3 linked regions of the Macaca fascicularis genome follow. The protein of the gene in region 1 binds, or shares a complex with, the protein of each later gene. Links are inferred from orthologs where the notes say so. Each region holds a gene or a part of one and is shown on either strand. Other genes may lie near its edges.

What was found. The genes of interacting proteins can lie anywhere in the genome.
Region 2: RBM15 (region 1) and METTL14 share a complex: the UniProt entries of both Homo sapiens proteins name them as parts of the WMM complex. The link is inferred for Macaca fascicularis from reciprocal best matches to the Homo sapiens genes RBM15 and METTL14.
Region 3: RBM15 (region 1) and WTAP share a complex: the UniProt entries of both Homo sapiens proteins name them as parts of the WMM complex. The link is inferred for Macaca fascicularis from reciprocal best matches to the Homo sapiens genes RBM15 and WTAP.

Annotation. Positions count from the first base shown.
Region 1 is NC_088375.1:123,968,751-123,975,835, forward strand, and holds the start of RBM15 (RNA-binding protein 15), read right to left. Parts: upstream 3,840-7,085; 5' UTR 2,960-3,839; coding exon 97-2,959; intron 1-96. UniProt on the Homo sapiens protein: RNA-binding protein that acts as a key regulator of N6-methyladenosine (m6A) methylation of RNAs, thereby regulating different processes, such as hematopoietic cell homeostasis, alternative splicing of mRNAs and X chromosome inactivation mediated by Xist RNA.
Region 2 is NC_088379.1:123,997,123-124,003,411, forward strand, and holds part of METTL14 (N(6)-adenosine-methyltransferase non-catalytic subunit METTL14), read left to right. Parts: intron 1-2,969; coding exon 2,970-3,086; intron 3,087-4,626; coding exon 4,627-4,837; intron 4,838-6,289. UniProt on the Homo sapiens protein: The METTL3-METTL14 heterodimer forms a N6-methyltransferase complex that methylates adenosine residues at the N(6) position of some mRNAs and regulates the circadian clock, differentiation of embryonic stem cells and cortical neurogenesis.
Region 3 is NC_088378.1:11,236,939-11,243,227, forward strand, and holds part of WTAP (pre-mRNA-splicing regulator WTAP), read right to left. Parts: intron 4,555-6,289; coding exon 4,376-4,554; intron 4,157-4,375; coding exon of another isoform or gene 4,096-4,156; exon of another isoform or gene 3,329-4,095; intron 1-3,328. UniProt on the Homo sapiens protein: Associated component of the WMM complex, a complex that mediates N6-methyladenosine (m6A) methylation of RNAs, a modification that plays a role in the efficiency of mRNA splicing and RNA processing.

The DNA.
Region 1 (7,085 bases):
GAAAATTGCATCTGATGCTGTATCCCATTACACATCACAAAACAGGAACCATGTCAAAGTAGTAAATACAAGTTACACATGGACTTTAGGACGCACCACGGACAATGATCATGACCAGGTAATCTTCTTCAGATTTGGCCAGTGCCTTGGCAGGGGAATCCAGGAACTGCTGGGAGAACTCACAAGGTGGGAAGGCATGAAGGACCCCGGTGTTTTCCTTGTCTTTGTTGCCCCCCACAGGGAGGCTGATCACCCCGGCTGCCTGCTTTTGCTTTAAATAGGACACAAGGTTCCTAAGTGGCCTCTGAGTAGAAGTGGCAGTGTCTGATGCAGCTGAGGAAGAGGAGGACCGGCTGTCAGAACTTCCAGGCACAGCCAGAAGAATGGCATAACCATTGGGCCCTGCTACTTTGATGCGTCGAGTTACTTCATCCAACTTGGGCTGGTCCAAACGGAGACGCTGAGTGATCTTGAGCTGGGCCACTTTGCCTCCAGTTGAACCCTCCACAAGAAGACTACTAGCCACTTGGAGGTCACCCTGCAACAGATGCATGTTGGAAGGAAAGTTGCTGTTCTTCAGTAGAAGCATGCCCTGCCAGGCCAAACAGAGTTTGGGAGAGGCTGCTGCCGCAGGGGCTGTCCCCCCATCCTGTTTCTGGGACGGGGACTTCAGCTTGCAGGAAGCAGTGCTGGTGCTAGGTGCACTCCCATCAGAGCGGTCTTCTTTTTTCAGAGGGCTTTTTCCCTCAGTGGGAGCAGTTGTCCGGTGCTTCCTATCTCGTTCAGCTGATGCAGAGTTTTTACGGTCTCGCTTGTCACCCTGGCTCTTCTCCAAACTACCTCGTCTGTCTCTGATTGGAGAGGGCCTTTCCAAGAGAAGACGGGAAGATCGATCATTGTCGCTGTTGTAACGATCCCGGCTACTGCTCAATTCTGGACTGCGGTCAGGAGAAGGAGCGCAGTGACGTTTTCGTGGGCGGTCACTCTCAGGAGACCTATCCAGATGACGTCCTCCACTCTCCTCAGGCAGCCTTCGCTTCCTAGGCTGGTCTCTGCTGCTGGGCAGATCTCGATCACCTCTGTCCCGGTCCAAGGACCAACCATCCCGCCTGCGATCAAGGCTATCCAGTGGCTCGTAAGCAGGCACAGAAGTAGCTGCAGTCCGAGTGCTGCGTTCTCGGACTGGGGGTGGGGGTGGCACCCAATCAGAGTCAGGATAAAGGTCCCTATCACGATCTCTGTATAGTAAGGGTGGTGTCCTATCCCGAGCACCCCTCAAAGGGTCAGGTGCCCGATGTCCAAAAGCATCTGTCACCAGCTCATAATGAGTCAAGGGCAGAGGCTGCAGATACTGCTGCTGGTAACGATGTTCGGTGTCGGCAAAGTCTACTCTAAGGCGTCGATCTGGGCCACCAAGTGGGAAGCCCCGCATATGGGTCCAGGCAGCATGCGCTGCATCCAGGCTTTCATACTGGATATATGCCCAACTATCACCTTTTCGGTAGTCTATGGTGCGTATGGTGCCAAATCGATCAAATTCTCGTGCCAGGGCAGCAAGAGGAACCCAAGGTCCCAGGCCTCCCACCCAGAGGCGGGTGGTGGGTGTAGCTTTACCATAACCAATTTTGATAGGATTCCGAATTATAATTTTGCCGGACATTGCTAATTTGGCCCGGTGGGACATATCTAAGTTCTCAAATTTGAGAAAGCCGTAAGTACTAGTCTGGCCGCGAGAAGGCCTCTTGATATCTACTTCTGTGATGACTCCAAAGCGATCAAACGCCCTTCTTAGATCATTCTCCGTTACAGTGATGTCTAGGTTGCCCAAGAAAAGCGTCCGGTTAGCTCGCTGATCATCCTCGGGTGAAATCTCATCCACTTCTCTGAAAGGAGCAGCACCTGCTCCAGCTCCCACCCTTGGCTCAAGACTGTATGCAGGGCGCACTCTCTCATAGAACGGGTAGTCTCTTTCTCTCTCCAGCTCTCGAGGCAATGGTGGCGGAGGTGGAGGGGGCAGGCGGCCAAGAGCCAACTGCTGCAGCCGGTAGTCTCTGTATCCTAAAGCAGCGCCACCAGGGGAAAGTGATCTCTGGCCTCCACCACCTCCAGGGGGGTGCCGGTGACCACCTACAGAGGCCCCGACCACGCTGGCTGAAGGAGGATAAGTATCTTTGTCTAAAGGGGAGCGGCTGCGGCGCCGGCTCACATACACAGCTTCTATCTTCAGAGGCCGGTCATAGAGCACCAGGCGGCCTCTGGCATGCTTGGCCGCCCGCGCGTCCTCTGGCCGCCGGAAGTTCACAAAGGCTACCCGCTCATCCCCGCTGCCAGAACCCGACAGATGACTGATTTTGACACTTACATCACCGAAACGTTTGAACTCATGAAACAGGCCGTCCTCCACCGCTTCGTCACTAAGCTGGGACCCCAACTCGCTTATCTTCAGAGTCTTGTATTCCGCGCCGTCCCCGCCGCCGGGAGCTGAGGAGGCGGCCCCAGAGGAACGTGACTCCCCGCCTCCACCCCGGGAGCTGCTGCGCGACTCGCCCCCGCCCGAAGAATTTTTGGTGCTCGGGGAGCTATAACTATGCAAGCGGCTACTGGAGCTGCCCCCACCGGTGTCATACTCGCGGCTGCCACCTCGACTGCTGGACTTGTCCAGGTGGAGACTCCGCCGCGACCCGCCGCCGCTATCGGTCTTTCCGCTGCTGCTCCCATTGCTGCCACCAGAGCCCCCTAACTTCTTGCTCCGCTCTCCGCGGGAAGTCGAGTCCTCACCACCACGGGAGCGTTTGGCCTTGACTGGCGAGCGCTCTTTTCCCTTCATTGTTGCGGGTCCTCGGAGGTCGTCTCCGCGGAGCTGATCAACCCGCCGCCCCGCGCTCGTTTCACACAGCGGAACCGCACGCCGCCATCTTGGACTCCGCCGCGGCACAGGGTCCCGCCCCGCAGTCCTCATTGGCCAATTAGCTCTCTCTTCTACAGTCTCATTGGGAAAATTATTTGTCTATCTTTACATCTCCCCGCGCTCCAGGAAGGCGCCCGCCCAACCACTGTTATTGGGTTCCCAACCCCCTAGTCAGAGTACCTCATTGGTTACATTTGTTGTCTATCTTAACGGTTCCTCGCGCCAGGCTGTAGCTCCGCCCCTCGCACTCTGCGGTCACGTGACCCAAAGTGTAGCTGTGTTGATTGGACAAAAAGTCTGCCCTGTAACGGTACTTCTTGCTCAGTGAAAGCAGCAACCCCGCCTCCTCATCCCTTTCATTGGCTTGTAAACCCGTCCTTTAAACCACTATTTGGGAGGTGGGGCCAAGTTTCGGCGTTTTTCCGAGAGGCAGGCTCACAGCGATATCGCGAGAGACGGTGAGCTCCCTCTTTCGACCCCCTTTTTCCAACTCCTCCGGCGGCTAAAAGAAGTTTAAATCTGATTGGATGTCTGCAAGGAAGTTGATAGGCTGAAGTAACTGTCCATCACTCGCTTAAAGGGGCAGGCCCATATAACGGAGGAGGCTGACTGAAGGTGAAAGACTAGAACACGTGCTTGCTATGCGACGTCACTTAGATGTCGCGAGAGGGTGACTGTGCGCCAGCCCCGCCTCCCCGCGTTTTTGGCGTTCTCCCCACAAACATTTGTTAAGTTCCGTGGGGTATTTGGCTGTGCTTCGGCCCTTGGAGTTCGAAACTTCTGAGCTCCCCGCCGTCCTACCTGTGCCGGCCAAGGGGCGGGGCAGACTCTCCGGCTGTCGGGGCCCTCCAGTCCCTTAGGAAGCCGTCCTGGGACGCCTAGCGGACACCATCTTATGTCGCTGTGGTAGCTGAGTGCACAGCCGGGGGAAGCCCCGCCCCCCGCGCGCGGGAGAGCGATGCCCGCGGTCACCTGGGCCCGCGGGGCAGGGAGTTCACGGTTCCTGCAGCCCCGGGTCACGCTGACGCCCCGGGGCGGTGCTAACACGTAACACGCGGGACCTCGAGAGCTAAGCAAGGTGGCTAAGACGCAGCCCTAGCCCAGGAGCTTGTCTCCCCCCGGCGCTCCCCGTTGCCGCCCAAGTACTCTGGGCAACCGAGGGGAGTGACCGTCGATCCCCGCCTCGTGGCCCGCGGGCGGAGCCGGAACTGTCAGGACACCGCGGACGTGTCTTTGGGCTGCCTGTTTTATGTTGCGAATCTGTGTGGATTTTTAAATCCGGTATTCCCGTAAAATAGCAATGTTTGTTTTTAATATGTAATGCTTCTTCCCTGAAAATCATCGAGCGAAATTTAGGCTCCATGCAGATATGTCGCTTTTTATTCCCCCTGTGGCTTCTTGTATTCCTTGGCACTCCTCTTTTTGTGTGTTAAAAGCCAGCAGCACAGGCACCTTGTGGCGGCTCCGGATCCACCTCGTTTGGCTCCTTCTGTCGTTCGCCTTACAACTTTAATTTCCATAGAGCGTTACTGTGGCGGACAGAGCACCTGTGAGAGGTGCAGGCGATGCCGAGCTTAGGGGGATATGGCCTGTGCCTCAGCACTCGCCGGTTGCTGCAGGGACGCAGCGCTGAGGTCACCACATCCTTTAGACCGTCTGCAGCTCTCCCGGGTATGCGCCGGGGCGGAGGTTATATTGATCCCGTCCTCAACCCTATTTCCCAAGATCCAATCTATAGTAGAGGTGTGAGGTGTTTTTAAACATGACATTTTTCAGGGTAACAATAATGTCCCAAAAGCTGAAACCTAAACTTGAAAACTGTTAATATTAGGAACTGTAACCTAAATTTAGCCTTGGCTGAGCCATCCTTCTTTTTGTAAATAATCCTGAGGAATATGAAGCTGTAGGCCTTTTATCTCTTGAATAAATCAAAGAAACTTGAAGGAAGAAGCTCAATTGTAAAGCATAAAAATCCACAATATTGTAATGTGTAGACATATTCATTGTATTAAAATAGGAAATAAAACTTCAGAAGGCATAAAATAACGTGTATAATACGCTACCATTTGTGGTTTTAAAAATATTTGTATTTTATGAGTATGTACATTTAAAAATATTTTCGTGGAAACTTTCTTGACAACTACGTGGGAAATTGTTCCCAGGATTGCCCTGAGGAGGGGTGTAAGGATCTGGAGTCGGAGGGAGACTTCACTTTTCTTTGTAGAAATCTTTTGTTTCTACAAAGGGCGCACTATTACTCCTTCAGTTTAGAAAATATCATTTTTAACTTTCCTTAAACTATTTTTATAGAAAAAGTTTAAAATACATAAAAGAATAAAGAACTCCCACGTGTACCCAACACCCTACTTCAACAATTATCAAATCATGTCAATCTTGTTTCATCTGCATCACTCTTCCCACTCTTCCTTTCTCCATTGTTTTCTTCCAGACTTACCTGATATACATTTCCTGCCCCAGTTGTGGAGTCAGCCATTTCTCCAGAGAGCTCTGGTTCCTTTTAGTGGGAAATGGTATTTAAAGATAAAAATCTGGATGCTGGAGGATAAAAAATACATGAACATATTATTTGTAAAAGCATGAAATAAAAGAAAAAGTTTTACCTGGGTTTAAATGTTTCAAGGTTATATTAATAGACCACAAATGGAAATTGAAGTTAAGCCATTATCTAATTACTCAATATAACAGCCAATCGAGATAATAAACCAGGCACTAGAGTGACTTTTTAACCTAAATTGACCTGCTAAGGTGACTCACTGATCAAAGAAAAAGATAATGACCAAATCAGTAGTTTTCCAGACCTCATGATAGGGGTTGAGGGAGCACAAGATTTGAGAGAAATAATTCAGGGAGACAAGCAGACACCCAGTCTGTGTGAACATGCACCAGAGGCATGCCAAGCTTAGTGGCTTGCCACTTCAAATACCGGAGAGCTTGATGGAAGCTACTGCCCGCGGCTGGCTATAGTACAAAGGCTTGCCAAGGGGGACTGAAAATCTGCCTGGAGCCAAGAGGACTAGTAAGTTTTATGCTTAGATGGAAAAGGCCTAGATTCTATTACAGTAACAGCCAAAATATTGTCTGTGATGTGTATGTGTGTACATGTGTGTGTGTTTCCACAACAACTGAATAATGACATAAGTTGGATCCATGCTGTAGTTAAATGATTTGTTTTCATTTCCTTTGTATTCTTGCCCCCAAAATTACCCCCTTCCCTGGCTCCCAGCAGATACTACCTGAAAATCCTTTGTGTTCTTTAAAGCAGTGGTCCCCAATCTTTTTGGCACCAGGGACCAGTTTCATGGAACTGTGCCACCTCAGATCATCAGGCATTAGATTCTCATAAGGAACACACAACCGACATCCCTCACATACTCCGTTCACAATAGGGTTAGCCCTCCTCTGAGAATCTAGTGCCTCTGCTGATCTGTCAGGAGGTGGAGCTCAGGCAGTAATGCTCCCTCCCCTGCCCCTCACCTGCTGTGCAGCCATGTCCTAACAGGCAACTGACCATTACTGGTCCACAGCCTGGGGGCTGGGAACTCCTGCTTTAAAGCATAAAGCTGCTTAGTGAGTTTTTTCTTTTCTTTTTTTTCTTTTTTGTTGTTTTGTTTTGTTTTAGTTTTAGTTTTAGAGACAGGGACTTGCTCTGTCACCCAGGCTGGAGTGTAATGGTGCAGTCATAACTCACTGCAACCTCAAATTCCTGGGCTCAAGCAATCTTCCCGGTTCAGCCTCCTATGTAGGTAGGACCACAGGCACACACCACCACACTCAGCTAATTTTTAAATTTTTTGTAGCAATGGGGTCTAGCCGTGTTGCCCAGGCTTATTTCAAACTCCTGGCCTCAAGTGATCCTCCTATCTCAGCCTCCCCAAAGCACTGGGATTACAGATGTGAGCCACTGTACCCAACCAAGTTAGGTTTTATCCTCAGTTTACATATGTGCTTTAGAGAGGGCACATGTGTAAAAGTGGATAAAAGTGACCCACGGTTCAGTTGGCCAGGAGTTTGAACCCTTCTTTTGCTGTTGATGATGGAATTGTTAAGGTGCAACCCGAGCTTTCATTTGATCTCTTTGTGATCAATGGCCAGATTTGTGAGGAGAGCTGACCTAGGTGAGGAGGATCTTCAGTGGTCATGAAAACAGGGCTGGACA
Region 2 (6,289 bases), on another chromosome or scaffold:
TAGCTAAAAAGTATTCTATGAGTAGCTGAAAGTATTCAGGAGCATTGGCTCCTGAAATCCAAATGGAAGTCAAATAAAATTGGAAAAGTAACACAGCATATGGAAGACATGAATGAATGAGAAAGAAGTTATAATACCTGAACTTATTTTAAGTATCTAATATTTAATTGAATTTGAGCTTTTTTATTTTATTTTTGTATTGGAGGTTTTTTTTTTTTTCTTTTTTCTTTTTTTTGGGACAAGGTACCAACTCTGTTGCCCAGGCTAGAGTGCGGTGGCACAGTCATGGCTTACTGCAGCCTCGACCTCCTGAACTCAAGCAGTTTTCCCACCTCAGCCTCCTAATAGCTGGGACCACAGGCACAACACTACCCCTGGCTAATTTTTTTAGTATTTGCAGAGATTAGGTCTTTTTATGTTGCCCAGGCTGGCCTCAAACTCCTGGGCTCAAGGGATCCTCCCACCTCAGCCTCCCAAAGTGTTGGGATTACAGGCATGAGCCACCATTCCTGGGCCTGATTGGCCCTGGCCAAAAGGAACAAAATAATATATATGCTGTTTTAAACAAGAATAACAACAGTATTATGACTAGGTATCAGGAGTCTTAATTTTGCTCTCAATTCGTCTGCTATGTAACAGTAAGACTTTGGGCAAAAAGATACTCTTGAGGGTCTCAGTTTCGTCACATTTTATTGGTTGACACTTTTCATTTTTATGACATATTACTTACTATACACCAAACTATCTCATTTAATCATTCCAATTTGGGGAGGTATCCATTTGACAGTTGAAAAATTTAAGTAGGATTATATGAGATAACAAGTATGATTATATGGAAATAAGATTGTGCCCAAATTCTGAAATTCTACAATTACTTTATATGCTTTATATAAATAGTAAGGCTGTTGGGTAACATCACTGCTTCTATTATTTATTAACTCCAAGGTAGACTATAACTGTATTTCAGTTGAATATCTCCATTTTTTTTTGGTGGTGGCTCTTCAAGATGCTATAGAAAAGTAAGAGTGAAACATATGTTTTTATAGGCATATTGGTATTTACTTTAACTTTAATATCTGACTTTGATCTTTCCTCTCATCTCTCATTCCCCAAATTAGATTGAAAATGATTAGGAGATTTTTATCTTTTTTTTTTTCTTTTGAGACAGAGCCTTGCTTTGTCACCCATGCTGGAATGCAGTTGTGCTATCTTGGCTCACTGTAAAGCCCTGCCTCCCAATTGAAGTGATTCTCCTGCTTCAGCCTCCTGAGTAGCCATCCAGGAGGTTTTTATCTTATTTGCTTATGCAGCAGTTTATCATACTGGTGAGAGTTTGGCGAAAAATGATTTAAGATTTAGAAAAATAATTCAGCATGAGAAATACTCATGAGCTTTTGATAAATTAGTGGATTAGGGCATGTAGAATTTAGGTCAGAGTGATGTTAATGACACGGTGCAAAATAAATATTTAGTAACAGGAACAAATATTGATCTTGATTTCAGAGATTTTAAAATAAAACTCTGCTGGGTGCAGTGGCTCATATCTGTCATCCCAGCACTTTGAGAGACAGAGGCGGGCAGATCACTTGAGGCCAGGAGTTCAAGACCAGCCTGGCCAACATGGTGAAACCCCATCTCTACTAAAAATACAAAAATTAGCATGGCATGGTGGCACGTGCTTGTGGTCCCAGCCAGTTGGGAAGCTGAGGCATGAGAATCACTTGAACCTGGGAAGCGGAGGTTGCAGTGAGTGAAGATTACACTCCTGAACTCTCGCCTGCGTGAAACTCCGTCTCTAAATAAATAAATTAATAAAATAAAATAAAATTCTAAGTTTCATTTTGAGGTGTTATCTTACATTACCCAATAAGCATTCCTGAAAAGTGTATGTTTTATACTCTACTATATCTTTTTTTTTTTTTTTTTGGTTCAGGGGGAACTCCCAACAGGATTTCCTGTGGTGGAAAGGAAGCTTGTTGGAAAGTTTTTTGTTTTTTGTTTTTTTTTTAATTATACTTTAAGTTCTGGGATACATGTGCAGACCATGCAGGTTTGTTACGTAGGTATACACGTGCCATGGTGGTTTGCTGCACCCATCAACCTGTAATCTACATTAGGTATTTCTCCTAATGCTATCCCTCCCCTAGTCCCCAACCCCCCTCTACTATATCTTTATATGTACTTGATCATCATACCAGCAATACTGTACTTATTTATTTATTTTTCCTTCCTTTATTCTTAAGTTGATGGGGATAGGGACTGTGTCTTATTCATGTTTTTATTCCCAGCAGCTACGCAGCACTAGCATATGGTAGACTTTCAGATGTCACTGTGAGCAATCATTTAGCTGGTATTTGTTTTATGTTAATGTGTAACAGCTTCTAGGTCATTAAGGTTCACATCTCTATTTTCTAGGTTATGTAGAGATGAAAGTACCATTTTACCCAACAAAGAGATACATGTAGCAATTTTAAGTTTGAACATTTTTACAGTCGTATTAAATATAGAAATAAGGTTTTATAAGACTCTCATTTGAAGTTAGCATTTAGAAGATTTTCAACAGTGTACAGCTTTGTCAGAGAATAGAATATTGAGGTGGTGGGAATCAAATTGTGTTTTGGATTATTTTGTGATTACAGAAGGTCTGAGCGCTTAAAATTTAAAACCCCATGTCCATTGATGACACTAGAATGTAGAATTGGGAGATGATGTAATCCTTTCTATGTTTTGATAGTCAACTATATATGTGACGTTGATATCCAGAAGGTATATATGTATTCCGTATTATGGCTATATATTTAAAGACTGGCATTTCTTTTTATATTCTACACTGAAAAAAAATTACCTTGAAACCTTGGAATATAGTGTCTGAAGCCTCTAGAAAGTTTTTTTTAAAGCTAGTTGGTTATTGTAAGTATTGTTTATTTCTTTAAGTTAAGGATTTCTGTTTAAAATTCTTTTGTTTCTAGTGTTTACGAAAATGGGGCTACAGAAGATGTGAAGATATTTGTTGGATTAAAACCAATAAAAACAATCCTGGGAAGACTAAGACTTTAGATCCAAAGGCTGTCTTTCAGAGAACAAAGGTATTGCCTTTACTGATTTGTTTTTTTAAATTTTCATGGTTTTCTCTCAAGCTTTTCCAAATCACTATATACTGTTTAATTAACTTTAGTAAAAAGGTCCTTTTCTTAGACTGGTGAAGATAGCATTGAGCATTACAGGAATACATCCAAATTTGTTTTAAAATGTTTTATTCATTGTCTTAGATAACCCCACCATGCTAAAAAGGGGAGTATATATTCCTCTATGTCCTAAATGCCATATTTCTATTAGATAAAGGCTTTTGATCACACTGACCTGTGGAATTTTTCTAGGCTCAGAAAGAAGAGAGAGCCGCAAAACTCTAGCTGGCCAGCTTAGAGACATATTTCTCTCTTCTTTCCTTCTTTTTCCTTTACAAGAACCCCTGAGAACTTCTGTTTCTTGTGACTCTGAGTTGCTAGTATCAGGTTTTAACAGGTTTTGTTCTTTACTTTTTAGGGAGCCACTGGTGGGAGGGTCTTTCTTATTAAGTCTTTTTTGGACTGGAATCATGCCTAGGTAATGAAGCCTCCGTAAAAATTCCAAGACAGGGGTTGGAGAGCTGGGTTGGTGAACCTGTGGAGTTTCTGGGACTGTGGTCCACTTGGAGAGGGCACAGCAGCTCCATGCCCCATGCCCCATACTTTTCATTATATATCTCTTCCATCTGGCTGTTTTGAGTTGTATCCTTTTATAATAAATAGATCATAGTAAGTAAAGAGCTTTCCTGAATTCCTTGAGCTGTTCTAGCAAATGATCTAACTCGAGGAAGAGGTCGTGGGAACCTCTGATTTATAGCCAGTTGGTCAGAAGCACAGGTGACAATCTGGACTTGTGATTGGTATCTGAAGGTGGTGCAATCATGTGGTTCTCAGCCCTTGACCTGTGGGGTCTGCACTAACTAGGTAGATAGTGTCAGAATTGAATTGAATGTGTTGATGAAGAAATGAAGAATTGCTTGGTATGGGAAAAATCCACACATCTGGGATCAGAAATGAAGTATTCTGAAAATACTGAGTGTTGTAAGTGAGAGTGTAGAAAAGAGTTTTTCTTATTTACATGGCAGTCTATCCTCATCCAGAGATCCAGGTTTTCCTGTTGTTTTGTTGCCCATAGAACTGTATCTCACCAGAAATGGTGGCTCACTTCTATAATCCCTGCACTTTGGGAGGCCGAGGTAGGTAGATCACCTGAGCCCAGGAATTTGAGACCAGCCTGAGCAACATGGCGAGACCCTGTCTTTACAAAAAATTTAAAAATTAGCCAGGTGTGGTGGTGTGTTCCTGTGGTCCCAGCTACTTGGGAGGCTGAGGCAGGGGGATCACTTGAGCCCAGGAGATCAAGGCTGCAGTGAGCTGAGATCGTGCCACTGTACTCCAGCCTGGGTGACAGAGTGAGACCTAGTCTCAAAAAAGAGAGAAATAACTGTATCCCAAAGATTTGGAGAAATGAGGATTGTTTTAGAATTGAGGACGTCAATGTAAAAGGTTTTGGAATGACTGTTGATTAAAAGAGATTAATTGGTCTGCTCTTGTTATTTAGGAACACTGCCTCATGGGGATCAAAGGAACTGTGAAGCGTAGCACAGATGGGGACTTCATTCATGCTAATGTTGACATTGACTTAATTATCACAGAAGAACCTGAAATTGGCAATATAGAAAAACCTGTAGAAATTTTTCATATAATTGAGCATTTTTGTCTTGGTAGAAGACGCCTTCATCTATTTGGAAGAGATAGTACAATTCGACCAGGTAGGACCTCAGTTAAAACAACAACAACTTTATGATTCTTTGGGTTATGCATGTCAAGAAATAGGACACGGTGCTGTGTGAAATAAACTTCTTATGCATTTGATTCCTTTTCTTGCTGTACTCAAATATGAACAGTTTCAGGTCCATAGCAAAATTGAGAGGAAGACACAGAGACTTTCCACATACCTTCTGCCCCACACATGCATAACCTTTCCAATTATCAATATCTCCCACCAGAGTGGTACATTTGTTACAAATGATGAACCTACATTGACACGTCATAATCACTCAAAGTCCACGGTTTACATTTGGATTCACTCTTGGTGTAGTAATTCTGTGAGTTTGGACAAATGTATAATGACATCTATCCACCATTATAGGATCATACTCAATAGTTTCACTGCCCTAAAAATCCTCCATGCTCCACTTATTCATCCCTACCCACAACCCTTGACAACCACTTATCTTTTTACTGTCTCCATAATTTGCCTTTGTCAGAATGTTATATAGTTGGAATTGTATAGTATGTGGCTTTTTTAGATTGGCTTCTTTCATTTGGTAATTGGCATTTAAGATTTCTCCATTCCTTTTCATGGTTTGATAGGTCATTTCTTTTTAGTGCTGAATAATATTCCATTGGATGTACCACAGTTTATGTATCCATTTACCTACTGAAGGACATCTTCCAAGTTTTGGCAGTTATGAATAAGCTACAGTGGAAATCTGTGTACAGGTTTTTGTGTGGTCATAAGTTTTCAGCTCCTTTGGGTAAATGCCAGGGAGCACAAATGCTGGATTGCATGGTAAGAATGTGTTTAATTTTGTAAGTAACTGCCACGACTGTCTTCTGAAGTGCCTGTACCTTTTTGCATTTCCACCGGCAGTGAGAGTTCCTGTTGCTCCACATCCTCACCAGCATTTGGTGTTGTCAGTGTTCAGGATTTTGGCAATTTTAGTGTGTGTGTAGTAGTATCACATTGTTGTTTTAATTTGCATTTTTCTGATGGCGTATGATGTAGAACATCTTTTCATATGCTTATTTGCTATCTGTATGCCTTATTTGGTGAGATGTCTTTTAAGGTCTTTGGCCCGTTTTTTATTTGGCTGTTTGTTTTCTTATTGTTGACGTTTGAGAGTTAGTTGTATATTTTGCAGAATAGTACTTTATCAGATTTGTTTTTGCAAATATTTTCTCTTATTCGGTGACTGTCTTCTCATTGCCTTGTTACATGTTTATTTTTATTTAATTAATTTCTGCTTTTTTATTTTCTTTCTACTTTCTTTGGATTTACTTCGTGTCTTTCTATCTGAAGTATTTTTAGATTGATATTCAGGTTAGGGGTAAGGTTTAATTTTGTACTTGTAAACTACTAGTATAAAAAGAAATTGAATAGGCAAGAGTTTCAAGAAAGAAACTCTTGCAAAAATTTAGTATTAGCTACATTAAAATAA
Region 3 (6,289 bases), on another chromosome or scaffold:
TCCAGCCTGGGAAACAGGGACCCTGTCTCAAAAAAAAGGAGGAAAGAGGGAAGTTTATGGTACATCCATCTTCCATAACTCTCAAGAATATATCTATTATATTAATTGAGGCACATTCAACAATTAAGTTTTTTTTTTTAAGACTTTATTAACAGAAAAGATCATCCTTTTGACACAAAAATAAGACCAGTGGTCACGTACCACAATTCAAACATGCAAATATCTGCCAATCTAGGAGTGTCACACTTTCCACAAATTAGTTCCAAATGCTAGTGGAACCTATGTGCACATACAGAGCAATTGCAAATATGTAAAGAAAAGCTCAAATGTTTCCCAATAAAATTTTACTGCTTTTCTTTAGCCTCAGCAATAAAAGGAGAAATTATTTGCTTGTTCTTGTAATTATTTATGAAGACAAGAAGAAAAAAATGATCACTTTTAAAGGGATCTAATAATTGTGATATTTACCTTTGAGACTTGGATAAAGACAGTGTGACATTCTTGTCCTTGGGGTAAGTTCAGAATGACCTTATTGGTTAAAATGTTTTTTAAATTCTAGTCTTTCCTTCTCCTAGTGAGGCTTTCACTTGCCTGACACACTACTTCAGTATGCCTTAGAACTTTAAAAATGAGAGCATTTTGTAAATAATTGTCAGTCTTTGAAGAAGTGTTGCACGGTTCTTTCACCTACAGCATAATTTTTTTTTTTTGAGATGGGGGTCTCACTGTGTTGCCCAGACTGGAGTGCAGTGGCGTGATCTCAGCTCACTGGAGCCTTGATGTCCCCAGGCTCAGATGATCCTCCCACCTCAGCCTCAAGAGTAGCTGGGACGATAGGTGTGCACCAGCACCCCCAGCTAATTTTTGGAGTTTTAGTAGAGATGGGGTTTCACCATGTTGCCCAGGCTGGTCTCAAACTCCTAAGCTCAAGTGATCTGCCTACCTCAGCCTTCCAAAGTGTTGGGATTACAGGTATGAGCCACCATGCCTGGCCTCATGTTTTCTAACCTAATGTAATTCAAGGAAGTTTGTAATTAAGCTTTCTTCCAGAAAATATGTGAAGAGTTAAACCTGGGTTACTACTGCTCAGAGGAGCCGAAGGGTGAAAGGTCACCAGTGAGCATGTGGTAAAGGCTTTATTCTTTCATAACATTATTAGCTGGTGTTCTTGTTCGTTGCTACTGTAGCTCCAGATTTCCACCATTTCCCATAAGCACTCTCAGGCGTTAGCCTCCACTGAACATCCACTTAGAAATTAAACAGTGGGAAAATGAGAGATATGCAAGATTGTCAAAAGCGATGGAATTCCTGCCTATGCGCTCAAAACTATCTTCTTGCAAAGTATATCTATTTCATTGGTGTTTACAACTAACTTTCTTATTATATGAATTTTAAAGAGTGGAAAAAGACAACTATAAGAGACATTAATTTGTGACCTGACTTAACCCCATATAAAAATGTCACAAATTCTAATGCAAAAAAGGGGTTCGTTTAAAAAGTCATACCTTTTAATAAATAAATGTCTAAGCTAAGGTAATCGTATCACATTTAAAACTAGTGATTACTGAAATAAATTTTAACAAAACCACAGTTTTGAAAAAATAATTTAATTACAAGTAATTGTTTCTGAAATAATTTTTTAAAATTACAAACAAAAAAACCCATTCCTAAAATCAATTAACCCACACACATAATAGAAAGCACGTTGAAAGATATACCTCTAAACACTCTAAAATGTGTGCATTCTCACATGAATGAAATATTTTAACTGAACTGGACAGGTTATTTCTGAGAATCTTTCTTCCTCAAAATTAAAACAAAAAAACAGTAAAGCGAAGACACACGTGCGCACGCACACACCCCAAAGCAAAACCCATTCCACTACTGGAAATATTCCAGACAGGGGATTGCCTGAGCCATTATTTGTTTCAAATTAGTGATGTATTTATAGTACCTGATATACTCTGGCTTACAGCCAATTTTACAGAAAAAAATCAATTTATAAGTGATTTAAATAGATTATGATTCCTTAATATAATGGAAATACACTATGCAACCATTAAAAATGTAGTAGTCTAGATACACTAAAAAATGGAAAAATGCCGAAGAGACCAACTAAAAAAAAAGGTGCAACTCATCTGTGTTTATGGTATGATCACATTTGTTTAAAATAATATACATAAAATGACTGTATATGCATAGAAATTATCTTGATGATACCCAAGAAAAAGTAATAGCAGTTACTGCTCCTGGAGAACAGAATGAGGATATCCAGGTAACATCAGAGAGTGACACTCACTTTTCATCTCCCCCTTTCTCTATAGTATTTCAATTTTATATACAAGCATGTATTATCTTATTATTAAAAGGGAAAATTTTAACAATGACAAGAAAAAAACCCATAGAACTCATGACTGTTATCTAAGTGGCAAAGAAAGATGCCTGCTAAATTTGAGTACATGTTAATAATACATTTTATGAATTACTTTTCTACTAAATTCTACTAAAAAGATACTTAGGCCATTTCTACTGTGAACTTAAAATGGCATAAAATATATACAAAAGCGTTAATGCAATCACATAAGCTAATTTCAAACAGATCCGGTTACTTACCCTCCAACCCTCACAAATAGTGAGAATTTTAGAAGCAGGTTTCTTGCTGAAAAGTCACACAAACCACTTCTTCAACCCACCCTCTGCCCCACAATCAGTTCCCTAAAGCACAAACATATATAAGATACTTACAATTGATTTGAATGATTAAGAGAGAACTTAAGTCACCCTTGTTAAAACTGCACTTAAACGTTGGGACAAGCTGGAACATTTATCTTCCACTCATCTTAGACTCCATTATCACCAAGCGAAAATTTGAATTGGTGACTTATAGAATGATCTGACGGAAAAAATTCACCTCCAGGATTGGATGGAAGCATGAAGAAAATAATGCCTCATTTATCTAAATGATTAAATGAATTTACTAGAAATGATCACTATACCTTTTTTCAATTCACAAAATGTCTTACTTAGGCCAGCCCACAGTTCCAACACAGTATCTTCTGGCAGGCACCCTGTGAAGCTGTCCCGCAATTACTTTCTACTGCAGTACCCTGGGACAAAGTGTCATTAAGGTAACCAGTGTCAAGTCTCCTTGTCTTTTATGTAGGTCTTTTAAAAATGAGGCACAGCGCCTTTTCCTTCACTTTGAAGAGCACAGCAACAGTATTTCCAAAATGAATCTGCTCTCCACAGGCCCCCCCCCAAATTAAAATGTTAGAGTACAACAAAATCATCATAATATTCTTTGAACTTAAAAAAAAAAAACCAACTATTTCAAGGCACATTTAATTTAATATCAAGAGTGCAATACAAAAGGCCCAAATACAATGAAGGAACACATTCCCCCATTAACACCAACGACAATGCTCTTTTAAACATGTGCCTGTTGAATGGAATGGGGATTTCATAAAATTCACTAAAAAAATAATGCAGTGAGTCTCATCACAGCTAATATCCTTATACAATCTAGTTGTGAAATGAATGTTTATAATGCTTCAAACAGTTTCAACCTGAAGTTTGATACCACACCTTCACGTTTGTACAGTCCTCAGTAAGATAATCTACAGTTTTGCAACCATTCAAAGAACAAACCATTGAATAAAACCACATTGATTAAGGCTCAAGCAAGTAATATAGAGCCCCAAACTAAATGGTTAAATATATGCGCTACTTGTACGGACATCTATTATTTGATTCTCTCGTGACTATTAAAAGTTGGTTCTCAGCAAATAAACCCTTTAAAGGCAAAATTCACCTCATTTGAGTTTTGACCCAGAAGTTCAACAACAATCATGAAGTCCACAGTCTTATTGGCAAAACTGATACACAGTGTCTCTAAGTCACTATGCTCAAGGTTAAGAGCGATGCATATTCCATTTTTACATTTTACTGGAATTTTACATGTTCAATTCATGATTTAAAATCTCTAGGTTTTCATTCCTTCAAACTGTCTGAAGACACAGTGTGCCACAGACTTAAGACTTCTGTTTCTCCCTCTATTTTCTTCAAACAGAAACATTTCTCAAGTGTCTACATGTTCTAGAAGGGGAATTTTTCGGAGGTGGCCACTTCTTCGGAATAGTCCGACGCCATCAGGCCTCTGAAGCAAGGGGAAGGGGAAAAGAAAAAAGCTGAAACACAAGGTTCATCTGGTAAGTTTTACATTAACCATTACAAGCTGGACAGTGTAAGAATGTGGCTTTTTTTGGCTCAAAAAGTCTGAGTCTTGGTGTGGAAACGAGTACTTGGCTGTCCCACCACAGCTTTCTCGTAGTGGGACTGTCAGGGAAGTCTTGACTGGGGAGTATGATTTGTTTACCTATCAGGCGTAAACTTCCAGGCACTCAGTTCATTTTGGGCTTGTTCCAGTTTGTCTTTAGTCTGTTCCAGTTCACCTTTCATTTTTAGGAAAAACAAGTTGATCGCTGGGTCTACCATTGTTGATCTCAGTTGGGCAACGCTCGGCTGCTGGACTTGCTTGAGGTACTGGATTTGAGTCTGTGCAAAGCAAAAGAAACAATTACGACCAAATCAAAGGAAACATACATAAGAAGGTGGGGGAAAACTCCCTCCATTCACTTGATTTACCAACTCTTTCATTAAGTCCTCCCCTCTTTCATCCTGAAATTCTCTAGAAAAATCTTAAAACTTTCTCGAAAAAGTACAGATTAAAAACTATTTGATGAATATGCTAATTACCCCAATCTGATCACTACACATTATATGTATTGAAACATCACTAGTAGTCCTTGAATATGTACAAAAATTATTTGTCAATTAAAAAATAACTAAGGTTATTCATTTAGGAATTGAGGCCATTTGATTACGTCTCCAAATCTGGATCTTAAAGGGGCTACATACATTTTACTTTACAATCCAAAATTACCAAAAAAACAAACAAAAATCAACATTATATTTACTAAAAATGCTGACAACCCACTGGAAAAAAGCAAAGTTTAAAATATTAATTACCTAAGAGTTAATGAAGTCTTTTGGTTTGCTTATTTTAATTTTTTGCCTATGGAAATTATTCTATGTAAAGTCCCCTAAAAATACATCAGGTGAAAGATTATAACTTAAAATACACATTTGCATTTCTAAAGGAAAAAATATACAGTACACATAGCTACAAGAGTTGCCGTTACAACTTTATAAAAGCAAAACTATAGGACCTTAAGCCAAAATAAAGTATAATTCATATTTTTTCTCCCTCTGAATAGATTTGAATCATAGAATTGTAAAGCTGGAAAGTAACTAACCTAACCCAAACTGCTTATTTTGAGATTAAATAACCCAACTGTTTAGTTCAGTGCCATAGCTGGGACAAGAACTCTAGTTCTCCAGCCTTCTGATTCCCAGTCTAGAGCTTTTTCCATCACACCGGAACCCTTCTACTTACATATGAAACCTTCAATTTCGACTTCAGTTGTACTATTTACTAGAACACTAAAAATACATTTCTAAAATATGAAATATAGTTATTAGCATTAAATTCATCATTTTCTTCATACTCAAAGTAGATCCGGCCCAAGATCTAACTCCATACTAAGGCTTAAACAGAATTACAGTTGAAATTTTCTAATATAAATTTAGTAAAGGAACAAATATACTAAGTAGTTTGGGAATATATTTGTTCCATTGAGCAAAAATCTACTACAACTGCATAGTCAATGTGAAACCAGCTGCTAAGATAACTTAAGAGAGCAAGAATAAACCATGACTTACAGTGCACTCCACGTACTGACAGGACTGATTAAAACAGTCTACAACACTGACTGAGACTCAGTTACTATTTAGCTTTACAAAGACCCAATAGTCAACAATTTCAATCATGAAAAGAGAGGTGAATCTGACTAGAATAAATTCCATGTTCTACAGAAGAGAACACTGAGTAAAGTGTTTTCAAAGTTAGTTTTATTCCTAAATCTATTTTGCGTTGGTTGGCAAAAGACTAAATGAAAAATAGAAATACCACTGAGGTGAACAAAAATGATAGATTTTACTTACCAACAAAATAGAATATAGTTAAGAACACAGTATATAGTTAAGACTATAGTAACTATGTGGCTAACTTATGCCTTACACTGAAAACTGACTACTGATGTACTTGGCAAAGACTGCACATAGACAATCAAACAGATGATTTAGTATGCTGGACAAACAAAAGATCTACAAAAACAAATTGACTCCTGAGGATGTATTTTATTTTTTCTAAGCTTAGCTTAATTTGAAA